Oryctolagus cuniculus: one gene and its partners. The protein of the gene in region 1 interacts with the protein of each later gene in a pairwise test. Links are inferred from orthologs where the notes say so. Each region holds a gene or a part of one and is shown on either strand. Other genes may lie near its edges. The genes, in order: RAC1, ARHGAP31, SYNJ2 and RALBP1.

Region 1 (4,287 bases):
GATGCACCTGGGAGAGCAGCAGCAGATGGCCCAAGTGCTTGGGCCCCTGCATCCACGTGGGAGTCCTGGAAGAAACTCCTGGCTCCAGCTGTTGTGGCCATTTGGGAAGTGAACCAGAGGATGGAAGACCTCTCTCTCTCTGTCTACCTCTTTCTGGAACTCTTTCAAATAAATAAAATTAAATTAAAAAAAAATAGCCAGCTGATCCCAGTTATAAAATGGTTAAAACTCAGCTTGCTTCCAATTTGTGGTATCTCCACCTTTTGCCTTCACTGTTTAAACACCTTTAACTGAAACTCGGGGCCATATTTACAGCTTTAACAATCTGATAAAACAACATTCCAGCAGTATCATCAGGAATATAGCTTACCAGTCGAAAGCAGAAATATATTCTTGGTACGGAAAATTTGGGATTTGGATTTTTACTGAAGAAATGTTTGCTACGTATGACCCCTGAGAGTAACAGTGTAACTTTTTTTTTTTGGCAAAAGTTCACTTTACTCCAATACTACTTAAGACAGTCAAGAGTCAACATAAATGTCAAACCCTCATTAAAATACCGTGGGGACAAGCCTTTGCGACACTGGCACCCCACAGCGCGGTGCCGGGCTTCGATTCCTTGCTGCAGGCCCCAATTCCAGCTTCCTGCTAGTGTGAACCCCGGGAGTGGTGGTGACGGCTCATGTAGTTGGGTCCCTCCTGTCCATGAGCAAGACCTAGAATGGGTTCTCAGATGCTGGTTACAGGTATGTTGGGGGTGAGCTGGTGGGTAGGAGCTTCTTCTCTCTCAAGTAAATTTTAAAAATTAAATTAGAAAGCAGACGGGAAATTCCAGGGCGGGAACAGTGTTTTGAATACTCATACTCCCTCACAGAGCCTCACACAGTGCTGGTCCTGGTCACTTCCAGGCAATCAGTAGAGGCCTGGCCCCTGGGAGGGGCTTGCCAGCCAGCCCCCTGCATGATTTCACTGAACTTCCCAAGGAGGAACCTCTCTGGGGGAGGGGAGGAGTGATGTGCTCTCAGACACCTCCCAACTAAGTGGTGAGATGTGGGCAGGACAGACACACACAGCAGGCATTCAACAAGTATTCACTGGAAGGAACAGCAGTACCAGCAGGAGAGGGCTGGGAGCTCTTCGTGTCAAACACCCTGGGTCCCTGCTTTAGAAACCTTCAAGTCAGAATACTACATTCCATCCCTCGGTTCTGAATTACCACAACTTCACTTAGAAAGAGAGCTAAGCATATCCTAAGCATAATCGATGGAGCATTTATAACTTTTAAGGGAAATCCAGGTCATTTTAAACGTTCCTAAGAAAAAGTGACGTTTTGCTGATGCCTGACACAAAAGCATGGAAGAATTCACTTAAAATAATCCGCTGACTTCATTTTCAATCCCACTTCACGAACGCTTTTCCCCAAGTGCCAAAGTAAGGTTTTCTTTTAAAAAGGTAACATAGCATACACATTCCTAAATAAATGAAATTTAACAATTTTTATTTGAATACGTAGAACTATACAGGGTTCACCTTTCCCACGTGTGACACGAATCCAACAGACATGCATCTCCCCAGAAAAACCAGTGTCCTAACTGTCCTCCTTGCATCCGAAATGCACAAACAATCTCAAACGTCTCCCATCAGTTCTCTAAGCTAAGAGATCACACATTCACTAAGAGGCATAAAAAAAAAAAAAAAAAAAAAGATAAAAGTCGGAAGGCCACTTTTGGGATATGAACCAGAGGTGTCCAGCGCACTCTTCCTCCGACTCTGGACTTGGACCAGTTGCATTCAGAGCTGGGTGAAACTGGTAGTAATTCTTCGAGAGTCCCTGTCCCACACTAAGCTACACAAGCAATGCTGAGACGCGCGATTTTGCTCGGATCACACTGGGATTCTTGTTTATAAGGGAGGGAAAAACACACACACACACACACACACACACAACTGCATAAGACCGGTCTTGTCCTCCTCTGGGGCCTGTAACCCCCACGGGCGGTCCTGGAAAGAACTCCATCCATCCCTGCCGCGCTCAGCCAAGGCCTCGGTTTTTTAATTTTTATTTTTATTTATTTTTTTAAATAACGACCACATTGCAGGAGGTCAGCTTCCGTCACACCTGGCCCCTGACAGCATCTTCCAAACTTTGTCCACGCCAAGGGCGCCACCGACCATGTCGAAGAACCCCACAAGTGGCCAAGTTACAAGTGGCAGCGACGCGGCCGCACGCTGGGCTTCCGGTCACTCAGACCACTGGACCTCCGCCGCCCGCCCCGGCTCCCCGGGCTGGAGGGGTGGGGGTGGGGGGCGACCAGGAGGTTTAGGGTAAATGCCAGGGAACGGCCCCTTCTCGCCAAAATAAAATAAAATAAAATAAAATGATTTGCACAGGCGCCCGAGAGCCGTGCCAAGCCGGGCAGGGTGGCGGGCGGCGTCCGGCCGCCCCGCGGGCCCGGGAAGGCGGCGAGAGGGCGGAGTCCACTCTTGCCCGCGGCCGGCCAGCGGCAGGGCCCTCCCCCCACCAGGACGCCGCAACCCGGCCCGGGACGACGGCGGGTGAGGGGCGCCCGCCCGAGCCCCGCGCAGAGGCCGCGCGGCGCCCACGCGACCCTCGGCGAGCCCCCGCCGGCCCCCCAGAGCCCCCGGCCGCGCACTCACCCGTCTCCCACCACCACACACTTGATGGCCTGCATCTGGGCCGCTCGCTGGGCCGCGGCGGCGGCGGCGGCCGGGCGCTGAGGCGGGAAGCGGCGGGCGGACGGGCGCGCGGCGACGGGCGGGCGAGCGCGCGGCGACGGGCGGCGGGGCGCGGGATGCCGGAGCCACTGTCCACGCCGCCTCGCCCTCCGCGGACTGGAGGCACAAGCCCGGCAGCAGCCACCACCCAAAACGGAGGAAAACTGCAGAGAAACAGGAAATGGCCGCTCCACTCACATCCGGCCGCCCCTCCCCCGCGCCGGCGCCGCCGCTCCCAGGCTCCGGGAGGGGCCGCTCCCGCCCGAGCGGCTCCCGGGGTTCCTCGGGGCTTCGGGAGCGCTCGGGAACGCTCGGGAGCGCTCGGGAGCGCTCGGCTCCGGCCGCGGGGGCGGGGCGGCCGCCATCTTTCCCGCGGGCTGGGCGCGGCCGGGTTTGGACTGGGAGGGGAGGCGGGGGTTCCAGGAACCGCGCTGACGTCACCGACTCCCGGCCCGGCCGTCCGAAGGGCGTGGGTTGTTCCCCCACCTCTTTATTGTCCTGTGTGTATGGTCACTGTCACTTAGGCGATGACATAAGGGCCTTCTAGAAATTTCCGAAGCTGAAGCTATATAAAGAAGGAAAAAAAAAGAAACCATACCATTATTGGGCCATAATCAGTATTCATTCCATCATATTTCTTTTTTTTTTTTTTTTAAGATTTATTTATTTGAAAGAGTTACAGAGAGAAGATGGAGAGAGAGAGAGAGGTTTTCCACCCGATGGTTCTCTCCCAATTGGCCGCAATGGCCAGAGCTGGGCTGATCCAAAGCCAGGAGCTTCTTCCAGGTCCCCATGCAGGTGCAGGGGCCCAAGGACTTGGACCACCTTCCACTGCTTTCCCGGGCCACAGCAGAGAGCCACATCGGAAGTGGAGCAGCCGGGTCTCGAACCGGCGCCCATATGGCGCTTCAGACCTGGGCTTTAACCCACTGCACCACAGTGCCAGCCCCTCTCCATATTTCTTTTTTATTTTATTTATTTATTTATTTATTTATTTATTTATTTTTGACAGGCAGAGTGGACAGTGAGAGAGAGAGAGACAGAGAGAAAGGTCTTCCTTTGCCGTTGGTTCACCCTCCAATGGCCGCCGCGGCCGGCGCTCTGTGGCAGGCGCATCGCGCTGATCCGAATGCAGGAGCCAGGTGCTTCTCCTGGTCTCCCATGGGGTGCAGGGCCCAAGCACTTGGGCCATCCTCCACTGCACTCCCGGGCCACAGCAGACAGCTGGCCTGGAAGAGGGGCAACCGGGACAGAATCCGGCGCCCTGACCGGGACTAGACCCCGGTGTGCCGGTGCCGCAAGGCGGAGGATTAGCCTAGTGAGCCGCGGCGCTGGCCTCCATATTTCTTAATACACACAGTGAACATGTTTCAGGCAAGATTGAAAAATCATACTGAATCTCTAATATTTTTAATTGCGGCTTACTAGTCCATTGTACACATGTACCTTTTTAAAATTTTACTTTGTTCATTTATTTTGATTTTACTTGAAAGGCAGAGAGAGATCCTCCACCTGCTGATTCTTCCCTAAATACCTGCAACAGCCAGGGCT
Region 2 (4,042 bases), on another chromosome or scaffold:
GGCATGCTCGCCTCCAGGCTCACTCACTTCCACTCAGCAAACTTTGAAGGAATGCTCACGTGTGTGCGTGTGTGTGCGCGCGCGCGCGCGACTGTGTGTATGAACTTGAATCTGTAAGCAGAAACTTGATTTCCTGGGCAGTGGTTACCCAGCTGCGGCTCTCGTTGCCAAGGGTGATCCGCGCCCCCGCGTGGCCTGGGGGTTCACGGGGCTCGAGGTCCCGAGCCAGCGCGGCCGGGGTGGGGGTGGGGCGGGGAGTGGTCGCGGAAAACCGCTGCCTGTCAGGTTTCTCCGCGGGAACCCCGTCTTTGTTTCTGTCACTACTCCTGAGGTGTTTGTGGAGGAGAAAGGCAGGCACCGAAATAGAAAGTGTCAGGGATGCGATGACAATGAGGGGCAGACTAAGGGAGCACTTTCTGAGGGTCCCAGCCAGCGCCCGGCCACCTCCTCCTGCGCGCTTCAAAGAGCCGCGCGGGCGGGAAGCGGGTGGCGCGGGCCGCGGCTCCTCAGCCGCGCGGCGATTTCCTCCCCACGCCGGGAGTTACCTCGGGAGTCGCAGCCCGGCTCTCAGGAGAGCGCGTCCTCTCCCCCACCCGGTGCTCCTCAACCCACCCACCTACTTCCTCCGGTTCCATACACGCAGCTCAGAGCTGCCAAAAATTTCCACCCTCCGCCCCCCTCCCTAGCTAACTTCCTTCCAGCGTTTCCTGAGCTGGATGAGCCTAGGATTTGTAAGACAGGAAAAAAAGGAAGGCGTGAGGGCGGGCGAGAGAGACGGGATGCTTGTTTTTCGCTCCACCGAAGCCGCCTGAAGGCACGACCGCTGGCCAGGGCGGCGGACCCACAGCAGCCCCCGGGCTGTCTGCTTGCCCCGCGCCGGAGTGCCGTCCGGGCCCCCGAGGAAGGCGGACTCGAAAACTCGCCCTCCCCCGCCGCGGCCGAGGAAGAGCGCCGCAAGACGCCGCAGCCCGTGAAAGTCCCCGGGACTCCCAGTGAGGAAGTGACACTCCCAAGCCGGCCGCCCGCAGCTGCCAGCCCTGCTCGGCCTCCGGCGCGGCGGCCCTGGAGGCGCGCCGCGTGGATTGCAGGCTCGGCTGGCCCGGCCCGCCCGCCGCCCCGCGGGGTCCATGCGCAGCGCTCCCGCCCCGGCTCTCGCCTTGGCCCAGGCGGCACCCCAGAGCCGCGCTGCGGCCGGTAATCGGAGCCGGGAGACCATCTTACCGCGGTGCCAGGCAGTGGGGAGGCGAGACGGAGGGGCAGCCTCTTCGGGACTAACTCATGAAGAACAAGGGTGCCAAGCAGAAGCTGAAACGCAAGGGAGCCGCCAGCGCGTTTGGCTGTGACCTGACGGAGTATCTGGAAAGCTCGGGACAGGATGGTAATGGGCCTTCCCCTCCCTTTTCCCCTTCTTTTTGTTTGAGGGAGAGATGGATTCTCTTGGGGTGTGTTCGATTTAGTTCACAAGTTAATGTATTCCAGACCTCGCTATACCTTAAGAAAAAAAAAGAAAGAACAGATGACTCTTAAGGTGCACAGCGCTGCCACTGTGACGGGCAGGGCTGTCAGTCCTGGCGTGGGTCGCACCCCAGCCGTTAAATGGGCGGTGCTGCCCCGACTTTCAGCGGCCACCTCCGGGCTGGGGGTGGGAGCGGGGTGCCTGGAGGGATGGCCGAGGAGTGGACAGTGGGATGGTGGGCGGGGGCTGCGCGACCTCCTGGGCGCTCCGATTTCATCTGCTCACATCTTTTTATATTAATGTGCTAGAAGGCAGTGGGGTGCGGTGGGGTGCGGTGGGGGCGGGGATCCTGGGCGGGGGCGGGGGTGGGGAGTGGTTACACAAACATTTTCTGAATTTCTAAGCTGATGCCACATAGATAGTCCCCCCCCCCCCATCTCTTTTCCCAACCCCCAGACCTTTTAGCTCCTCTCGGCTTTCAGATTAACCTGTGATATATCAGACAAGAAGAGGGTTGTAGAAAGGTCAGAGGGCCTCGAATCTGAAATAGTTGAGGATACAGAAGAGAAAAGGAGAGCATCTCTGTTTTCGAGGGCAGATTGGGAGGCAAGAAGGAATCCAGCAAAGGAGAGATAATTTAAACATTTGTTGGGCGAGGAGGAAAGAAAGCAATTCTAGCATACAAAAACAGTATTTGAGGTTAGAAGTTTTTCATCATAGGAAAGTTGGGAAAATTGAGCATTAAATGACTCCTTTTGTAAGGTTGACTGACCCTGCACTTACCCATGACAAAAAGGCCTTGTCTGCAGAAACTTCAGTTAGAGAAAAAATAGCGCACTCTTTATGAGCGGTGTGTTTATACATAGATAGATATAACAAAGGGGAAAATGTAAGGGCTGTGCAACTGTGCAGATTGATTCTGCCTCCAGGAAAATAATCCCCCAACGACCTGATTAGTCCATATCAAATAAGCATCTCAAAAACAGCGCAATACTTCTCTTTCATACACACACACACACCCTTTTTTTTTCCCAAAAGACTCAGCACCACCTAGTAATTTGCAGTGGTGTGATATTCCTGTGGTATTCCGGGGTTCACAGTCAGCCATGTCATTAGGACAAATGGCTTAGTATTTTAGAGCTTGAGGAAACACAGGTTTCCAAGCTTCTCTTTTGAAATCGAGGTATAACTGAGCCAATTCACTTTATCTTCATCAACAATCTGGAGAGGTAGATTTGAAGTAGAATTGCTCAGATTAAGGTCGGTTTTTTTTTTTTTTTTGAATGTGAAAGAACTCCCAAGTATGCGTTTTAACCACTGCTGTCAGTAGTTCAGGATGAGATATTTCCCTCCTGTTTGTGTATGGTCTTCCTGTTAACGTCCAGGTACACTAGGAATGCTTTTAGATGCCATCTTCTACCGTGTGAGTGCTATTCTGGGCCCTCCCTCCAGAGCTGGGATAGTGGCGTAAGGGTACTTGCCAGCCCTGCCTCATTCTTACAAAGTCTTTCATCATAGGAAGAGCCAGAAGCCCAGAGTTCTGTGAACATATCTCAAAGGCACCCGTAGGCAACTGTTCTTTCACCTGCTTTATATTTTGGGTTTTGGCACATGTTTCATTTAGGGGAAAAAATGTCCCAGGGTGAGGGTGGGGTTGGGAGGGAATTTACCGCTTAAAGAAAAAAATGGAAAACCGGTAGCCAGTGTTTCCCACCTTGGGGAGGAGGAAAGAAGGCCCAGAGAGGTAAATTGACCTGCCCAAAGTCTTGCAGTGAAATCATGATGAGGCCCTGGCCTGTTAGGCTCCTTTCCCCTCCCTGGCTTCCATGTCTGAGCAAACATTCCAAGTCAGAGAACTTTCAAAAATTGAACATATCTGAGTAGAGCTGAGCTTTGAAACTGATCCATGTACATATCCACACACCGTTTTTGTATGACATGGAAATTAGGCACATGTAATAAGCAGCTGATATAAATGAAGAGTAATTAGGGTTTTTATTTTCCAACAACTAAAGCTGGTTAGATAGTTTTCCCTTATTTTTTTGTTGTGAAGTGTCAGTAAATAAAGCCAATGTTGGTGGTTTTTTCCAAAACAAGGTAGCCTCCCCATGGACTTTCTGAAATCCTTATTGGCTACTAGACAAGGCCCAGATTCGGCTTCTAGCAAGAAAGAGCTGAGCTGGGCATTGCCCCTTTGCAACCGCCTTGGAAATTCAGACCAGAATGCTAGGGCTGGCACGTCAGTGTGGCAACTAGAATCCAGGAGGCTGAGGACAGCTCCTCAAAAGTGACGTCATGGTCACTGCACTTTAGGGACCAAGAGCAGGGTTGATGGACCTGGGTAAAAATCAGGACAGGTGGACTCTGGTTTGGGAGCACAAAGACAGAAGGGAAGAGATGCAGAGAAACTATGAGAGCCCCTGTGCTTGTATGGAGAAGAAGAGACCCACGCTGGGGTGGAGGACAAAGCTGGTGACAGTTTGCTGTGCTCAGGCCAGCTGAACACAAGGCAGCTAAACACCTGAATGGGAACTCCGAGAGGACAGAGACTGAGCACCGAGCCTGAATGAAATCCATTTCTGTAAT
Region 3 (2,697 bases), on another chromosome or scaffold:
CTCCTGTGGGACACACACACACACGCTCGCGTGGATGCATGGTCCTGTCACTTGGATGCCTTGTCTGCCACTTCTAACTCTGGGCTTTTTGCAAGCTGGCTTCAGCGGGCCAGACATCGCTGTCCGTGGTCCCAAGCAACCTTTCGCGTAATCCGCACTTTACGCATCAACCTTCAGGGAGGCCATCGCAAAGCTGTTCCAAATCCAGAACACACTAACGGGACACAAACCAAAGCCCCACCTCAGACACTCACAGAGAGAGAGAACGGGCGAGAGAACGCCGTGGGCCTTGCCAGCTTGACTTCCTGCCATAGAATCCGCGTGCTGAACCTAACGGCAGGTCCCATCCCCCCGAGGGCAAACATTTTATGTACACACTTGGAGTCGATCGTATTTCGGTGGCTGAATAATCATCTTATTGGAGGAGACACACAACTTTTGTCAGCTACACGAGAGTGACACACACACACACGTGTTGTTTTCAGCGTGTCTCTAAACAGCCCTCTTCTGACCTGGGGAAGTGCTGCCTACAGGGGCCAAGGGAGCCCGTCCCACACGGGCCGCCTGTGGAGCTCCCGGGTCAGGTCTCTGCCAGCGGGTCAAACGCCTGCAGCGTCGTCCTCTTGTCTCTGTCACTGATGGCCACCCAGTGACCGGAGGCGTTCTGGTCCTGGTGTGGCAGCAGCTCCGGGCCGGGGTCAGCTCTTTCGGGGCTCCTGGCCTCTGAGTTCCAGAGGCCGGAGCTCTTGGAAATCCAGGCATTATTCAGCAGCTTAGGATGGTGCAGAAGGTTCCAGAAGGGGTCCTGATACTCACCCAGAAGGGAGGCTGCCTCCGGCTTCGTGACTTCGGAACCGTCCGTTTCGGGGCTTGTGGCAGAGGAAAGGCCAAGGAAATGCACTTGGGGAAAGAGAGCGTCGGCCTCAGGCTGGCGACCCGGCGGACGGTCACGGTCATGGTCATGGCCGCTGGCATCACTGGTGAGGCCCTGGAGGAGCTGGCTGCTGCTCTGCAGGACCTGCAGGTGGAAGGCCGCCGGCGCGGACTTCTTCCTCCTTGGGGGCACCTTGGGCACGAGAGACGGGACCTCGGGCGGTGACAGCAAGGTGTTGCCTGCCACAGGACCACCTGTGCCCGGTGCCGGCTTTCCACCGCTGGGCGGCCTCTCTGCGGCTCTGCCAGGCTGAAATGTCCTTGGTCTGGGAACAGGGGGGACTCGAGGGGCGGTCCCCGGAGGAGGGGCTTCCAGGCTTGTCTCCGGGGGCCCGACTGTGAAGCGGACTGCTTCTTGATCAAGCTGTTCTTCGGGCGACAGGGGCTGAGAAAAGCAAGACACGACATGTGACTGGGAAGCCGCCACGTGCAAGTCGAGGACCAGAGAACACGAAGCTGTCAGCGGGGGGGAGGGACGAGCCTGAGGTGACATTCCAGCAAATTCGAGATTTGAGAATGTCTGGACGCTGGCAGTGTGGCCAGAGGGGGGAACACACAGGAGAAAACACACAAGGGCACGTCAAACCAGCACACGCAACGAGAGGCCAGGGAGGATTTTAAAAGCAGAGCCATAGTGCAACATTCCAGAGTTTTCTTAGCGAACGGGGCTGTGCTCTTCTGTGACTCAAAGCGAACCTCTGGGCGAAGGTGCTCCTCCGAGGCCGCGGCTTGGCTGGTGGTTCACACAGCACGCGCCCCTTCAGGTGAAGCCACTCCCATGATAGTGCTAAGCTCCCTGAAGGGCTGGCTAGGGGCCTACGCTGTGGCGTAGCGGGTAAAGCTGCCACCTGCAGTGCCAGCATCCCATAGGGGCCCTGGTTCAAGTCCCGGCTAATGAAGCTACCCCTCAAAAGTTCAAGGGAAAATGAATTAAAAGGTAAGCTTATTCTGGTACAGAAACCCAGAAGTGCACATTTTCCATGCACTTTTAGAAAACCCCATATAATTCTCAATACAAGGAGAAGAATGGACTTGACCTGCCCAGGGACTTGCCCTGCTCGGGAAGGAGACGAGTGTGCAGTGCAGTACTCCCATACGGAGGGGCTGTCCGGGTTAAGCACCGGCGTCTCAGAATTTCCCCTGTTGGGGCCAGCGCTGTGGCACAGTAGGCTAAGCCTCCGCCTGCAGTGCCAGCTTCCCATATGGGGTCCTGGCTGCTCCTCTTCCTATCCAGCTCCCTGCTTATGCCCTGGGAAAGCAGTGGAGGATGGCCCAAGTGCGTGGGCCCCTGCACCATTGTGGGGGCTCCAGAAGAAGCTCCTGGCTCCTGATCGGCCCAGCTCTGGCCACTGTGGCCATCTGGGGAGCGACCCAGCAGATGGAAGACCTTTCTCTCTGTCTCTTCCTCTCAGATAGACAGCAACTCTACCTCTCATATAAATAAATAAAATCTTTAAAAAACAGCAAACAATCCCTTCTCACGGTGAAGACAGCACGGCCCACACTGGAATTCCTGGGTTGGAAACCCAGCCTCAGCTTCTGACTCCAGCTTCCCGCTAATGCGGACCCTGGGAGGCAGCAGGGATTGGGTCCCTGCCGCTCCCCGCCCCCCCCCCCCCCCAGCCGCTGCGGACGGACCTGGACTGAGTTCCAGCTCCCGGCTTTGGCTCAGCTCGGCCCTGGCTGTTGTGGGCGTTTGGGGAATGAATTAATAAATGGGAGATTTTGATCTCCCCTGCACCCCTCACTACCTCTCAAATTAAA
Region 4 (3,564 bases), on another chromosome or scaffold:
CTGGCTATCTCTTGTGCAATCTTGGTTTCACACTCCTGTCCAGTAAGAGAAACGGAAAAGGAACTAGTTAGTATGTAGGTAAGACATATTCAACAGATGCACATTAACACCCAGCCAGGCTCTTCCTCCTCCTTCCACCTCAATGAATGGATATTTTTCAACTGGGCTGGGAACTTAATACGGGGTCATTAGTTCATGGTTGCATTGTGGCGCATGTTCAATTCTGGCTAATGTGCCTATCTTCCACACAAATTGCCTTCTGCCATACTCTGCAGGGTGGAGGTGCCAGGGGTAGCAATGTTCAATGTACAATTCAGTTCTGATAAATATACACAGTTGAGGAATCACCACCACCATCTGCTATAGAACTTTCCTATCACCCATGAGCCCCTGGGGCTCCTCCTCCAGCTGCTGGCTCCTAGCAACCACTGACCTGCTTTGCACTACTTACAGGGTCTCCTTTCCTTGAGTTTCACAGAAATGGATCAACCACTAAATAGGCTTTTTCATCTGTCTTCTTTTGCCGAACACAATGCTTTTCTGAGCCATCTATTTTGTTGGCTATATCAGTAATTACCTGGTAATATCCCAATTTGTTTACACACTGACCAGCTCAAACAGGCCATCTGGGTTCTTTCTAGTTTTTAGCTGTTAGAACTGCTAAGAGCATTTCACAAGGGCTTTGTGAGGGTGTAGGCTATTTTCTCTTGAATAAATACCTTGGAGTAGAATTGCTGGGTCACACAGTAACTCATGTATGTTTACCTTTACAACAAACTGCCAAACTGGCTTCCAGAGTGGCCATACCATTTCGCATTACCAGGACTGACATAGGAGAGCTCCCGTTACCTCATATTCTTACTCACACTTGGTACTTTCAGTTTTAGCCACTCTAGTTATTGTACAGTGTCCTCTCATGGTGCTTTTAAGTTGTGTTTTCTTAAAGACTAACGATGTTGAGCATCTTTGCATGTGCTTATCTGCCATGTGTGTATCATCCTTGCTCAGTTCCCCATCAGCTCCCGTGCCTGTTCAACAGAGAACCCATACCAACCCCAGACGACATGGTTCTGGAGGCTGAATTCGTGGGGGTGCATGGAGGTTCTTAGCGGTGCCAGGAGGGGGCGTGGAAGCTCTGGGCCCTTTCTCCCATTCTGTGTCCCACTCATCTCTTCATCTGTCCGCTCTGTGGCATCCTTAATAACAAACTGCGCAGCGTGCTTCCCTGAGTTCTGTGAGCCACCTGAGCAAATTCATCAAAGCTGGGGAGGAGCTTGCAGCTGGCATCTGAAGGGGGCGGCCGTGGGGTCGCAGCCCTCAGCCTTGGGTGTGGCTGTCTCCAGATCAGCAGAGCCAGACTGCACTGAATCAGAGGACGCCAGCTGGTGCTTGGAGGAAAAGCCCCCAGCTTCTGAGATCACAGAGGTCTTCTGTGTTGGCTGTGGTCTGACAGCAAAGGGAGACAGCCCCCTCTGACAAGACATCCTCCACACAGGTACAAATCTCTATCCTCAGAACAACCCAAGTACTCGGCCGCCTTTGACTATTAGCCCAAACGCAACAGCAACCACTCCCATGCTCAGTAAATCTGCTGCCCACAGACCCTGCACCAATTCACAGGATGTTGCTGCTGAATCTGTACATGGGTGGTAAGACAGTGCAGAGACTGAGATTTGAGCTGTGGGGTTACTGGTACATTCACAGTTCTGGGACCAAGCAACCCATACTAGAGGGAGATGAGGGGCCCGTGTGTACTGCCATTGCGCCAGGAGCTAAGTGAACAGAAGCCCTCCCGGCAATCCTCTCCGCTGCCCTGCCGTCCATCTCGGACGATGCCTGACCATCCGGCCTTCTCAGCGTTGGAAAGCTTGTTCAGAGGTACAAGCAAGGAGGAAACGACAACACACCTTCTAGTAAAACCCCCTTCTTCATGAAGATCTTTCTCCACAAAATGAAACATCCGACACCGTTCTGAAGGAGTCATCCAGAACTAGCAACGCCTGAGTAAATTTCCCACTAGGGAGCGTCAGGAACCATGCTTACGTTGTATTTTAAAACAAATGGCACAGTTCTTTAATATTTTACTATAAGCACAAAGTACTAAAATATAACTCACTTGTCTTTTAGCTTCTCTCAGTTTTCTTTTGAGGGCTGTCAGAATTCTTTGTACTTCCCATAATCTCTCTTCTTTAGACAAATCCTTTATCCCACCCTGCAGATCTCGATGTAAACAATTCAAAAGAAACTCCTAGAAAACAATAACACACAATGAGCAGTATCCAATGTCTTACTTTAAAAAATCGTGATTTCTAAAGATGTAGATTCAACTATTTTCACTTATTGTTAAAGGACGGAAATAATGGCACTAATGATCTTCTCAAGGATATAACTGAAAAAATCATTCTTACTTGTTTTGCCTGAGAATTAGGTTCTCAGTCATTAATGTACATTGATTCAGTAGGAGCTAATTCACACCCTCACTCCTACATCATCAACTAGTAAGGAATGGAAGTTCAGGGCAGATAAGGGAAGAGAGGCAAGCAGAGATTTGATGATATGCATGCAAGTAAATAAAAACACATTTCTTATTTAGTCTTGAATTTCTTATTCAATTTCTCTCTCTCTCTCTCTCTCTCTCTCACACACACACACACACACACACACAGCATGGCATTTTTTTCCTGTGTTTTTTAAAGATTATTTATTTAGGGGTCAGCACTGTAGCACAGTAGGCTAAGCCTCTGCCTGTGGTGCCAGCATCCCATATGGGTTCTGGGTTCGTGTCCTGGCTGCTCCTCTTCCAATTCAGCTTCCTGCTATGGCCTGGGAAAGCAGTAGAAGATGGCCCAAGTGCTTGGGCCCTTGCACCCATGTGGGAGACTGCGAAGAAGCTCCGGCTCCTGCCTTTGGATCTGCCCAGCTCCAGCCTTTGTGGCCATTTATTTAGGGAGCAAACCAGGGGATGCAGGACTTTTCTCTCTGTTTCTCCCTCTCTCTGTCTGTTAACACTATCACTCAAAAAAAAATAAATAATAACTTAAAAAAAATTTTTTTTAAAATTACCTATTTGAAAGGCAGAGTGACAAGAGAGAGGGGGAGAGACAGAGAACTTCCATACACTGGTTTACTCCTCAAATGCCCACAACAGCCATGGCAGGGTAGTGTCAAAAGCAAGGAGCCAGGAACTCCATCTGAGCCTCCTATGTGGGTAGCAGGAATCCAAGTACTTGGGTCATCATTGACTGCCTCCCAGGTGCACTAGTAGGAAGCTGGGTTGGAAGTGGAGGTAGGACCGGATCCCAGGCACTCTGACAGAGAATACCCAAGCGGTGCCTGTCTCACAGCACAGTTTCTTACAGCTAAGTCACAAGTGGAAAAGTCTAAGATTTAGACTCAAGTCTTGGTTCTACAGCTTAGTAATCATGTGCTAAAGTTTTCTCACCTCCCCTGACTTTCCGTATTCTTATCTTTAAGACATGACTAAATGAGAGCAACCTCGTCCAGATAAGCAAACACTTTGGTGCTGTGTACTAGTGTGCTGAGCCCTTTTCATGCATTATCTCA

Evidence for each region.
Region 2: the proteins of RAC1 (region 1) and ARHGAP31 interact in a two-hybrid assay, tested with the Homo sapiens proteins (2 studies listed by BioGRID and IntAct, with this or other methods). The link is inferred for Oryctolagus cuniculus from reciprocal best matches to the Homo sapiens genes RAC1 and ARHGAP31.
Region 3: the proteins of RAC1 (region 1) and SYNJ2 interact in a two-hybrid assay, tested with the Homo sapiens proteins (2 studies listed by BioGRID and IntAct). The link is inferred for Oryctolagus cuniculus from reciprocal best matches to the Homo sapiens genes RAC1 and SYNJ2.
Region 4: the proteins of RAC1 (region 1) and RALBP1 interact in a two-hybrid assay, tested with the Homo sapiens proteins (2 studies listed by BioGRID, with this or other methods). The link is inferred for Oryctolagus cuniculus from reciprocal best matches to the Homo sapiens genes RAC1 and RALBP1.

What each region holds. Positions count from the first base shown.
Region 1 is NC_091450.1:40,075,952-40,080,238, forward strand, and holds the start of RAC1 (ras-related C3 botulinum toxin substrate 1), read right to left. Parts: upstream 2,837-4,287; 5' UTR 2,694-2,836; coding exon 2,659-2,693; intron 1-2,658. UniProt on the Homo sapiens protein: Plasma membrane-associated small GTPase which cycles between active GTP-bound and inactive GDP-bound states.
Region 2 is NC_091435.1:75,801,031-75,805,072, forward strand, and holds the start of ARHGAP31 (rho GTPase-activating protein 31), read left to right. Parts: upstream 1-1,239; 5' UTR 1,240-1,278; coding exon 1,279-1,378; intron 1,379-4,042. UniProt on the Homo sapiens protein: Functions as a GTPase-activating protein (GAP) for RAC1 and CDC42. Required for cell spreading, polarized lamellipodia formation and cell migration.
Region 3 is NC_091436.1:9,655,618-9,658,314, forward strand, and holds part of SYNJ2 (synaptojanin-2), read right to left. Parts: intron 1,319-2,697; coding exon 581-1,318; 3' UTR 1-580. UniProt on the Homo sapiens protein: Inositol 5-phosphatase which may be involved in distinct membrane trafficking and signal transduction pathways. May mediate the inhibitory effect of Rac1 on endocytosis.
Region 4 is NC_091441.1:66,680,730-66,684,293, reverse strand, and holds part of RALBP1 (ralA-binding protein 1), read right to left. Parts: intron 2,249-3,564; coding exon 2,117-2,248; intron 36-2,116; coding exon 1-35. UniProt on the Homo sapiens protein: Multifunctional protein that functions as a downstream effector of RALA and RALB. As a GTPase-activating protein/GAP can inactivate CDC42 and RAC1 by stimulating their GTPase activity.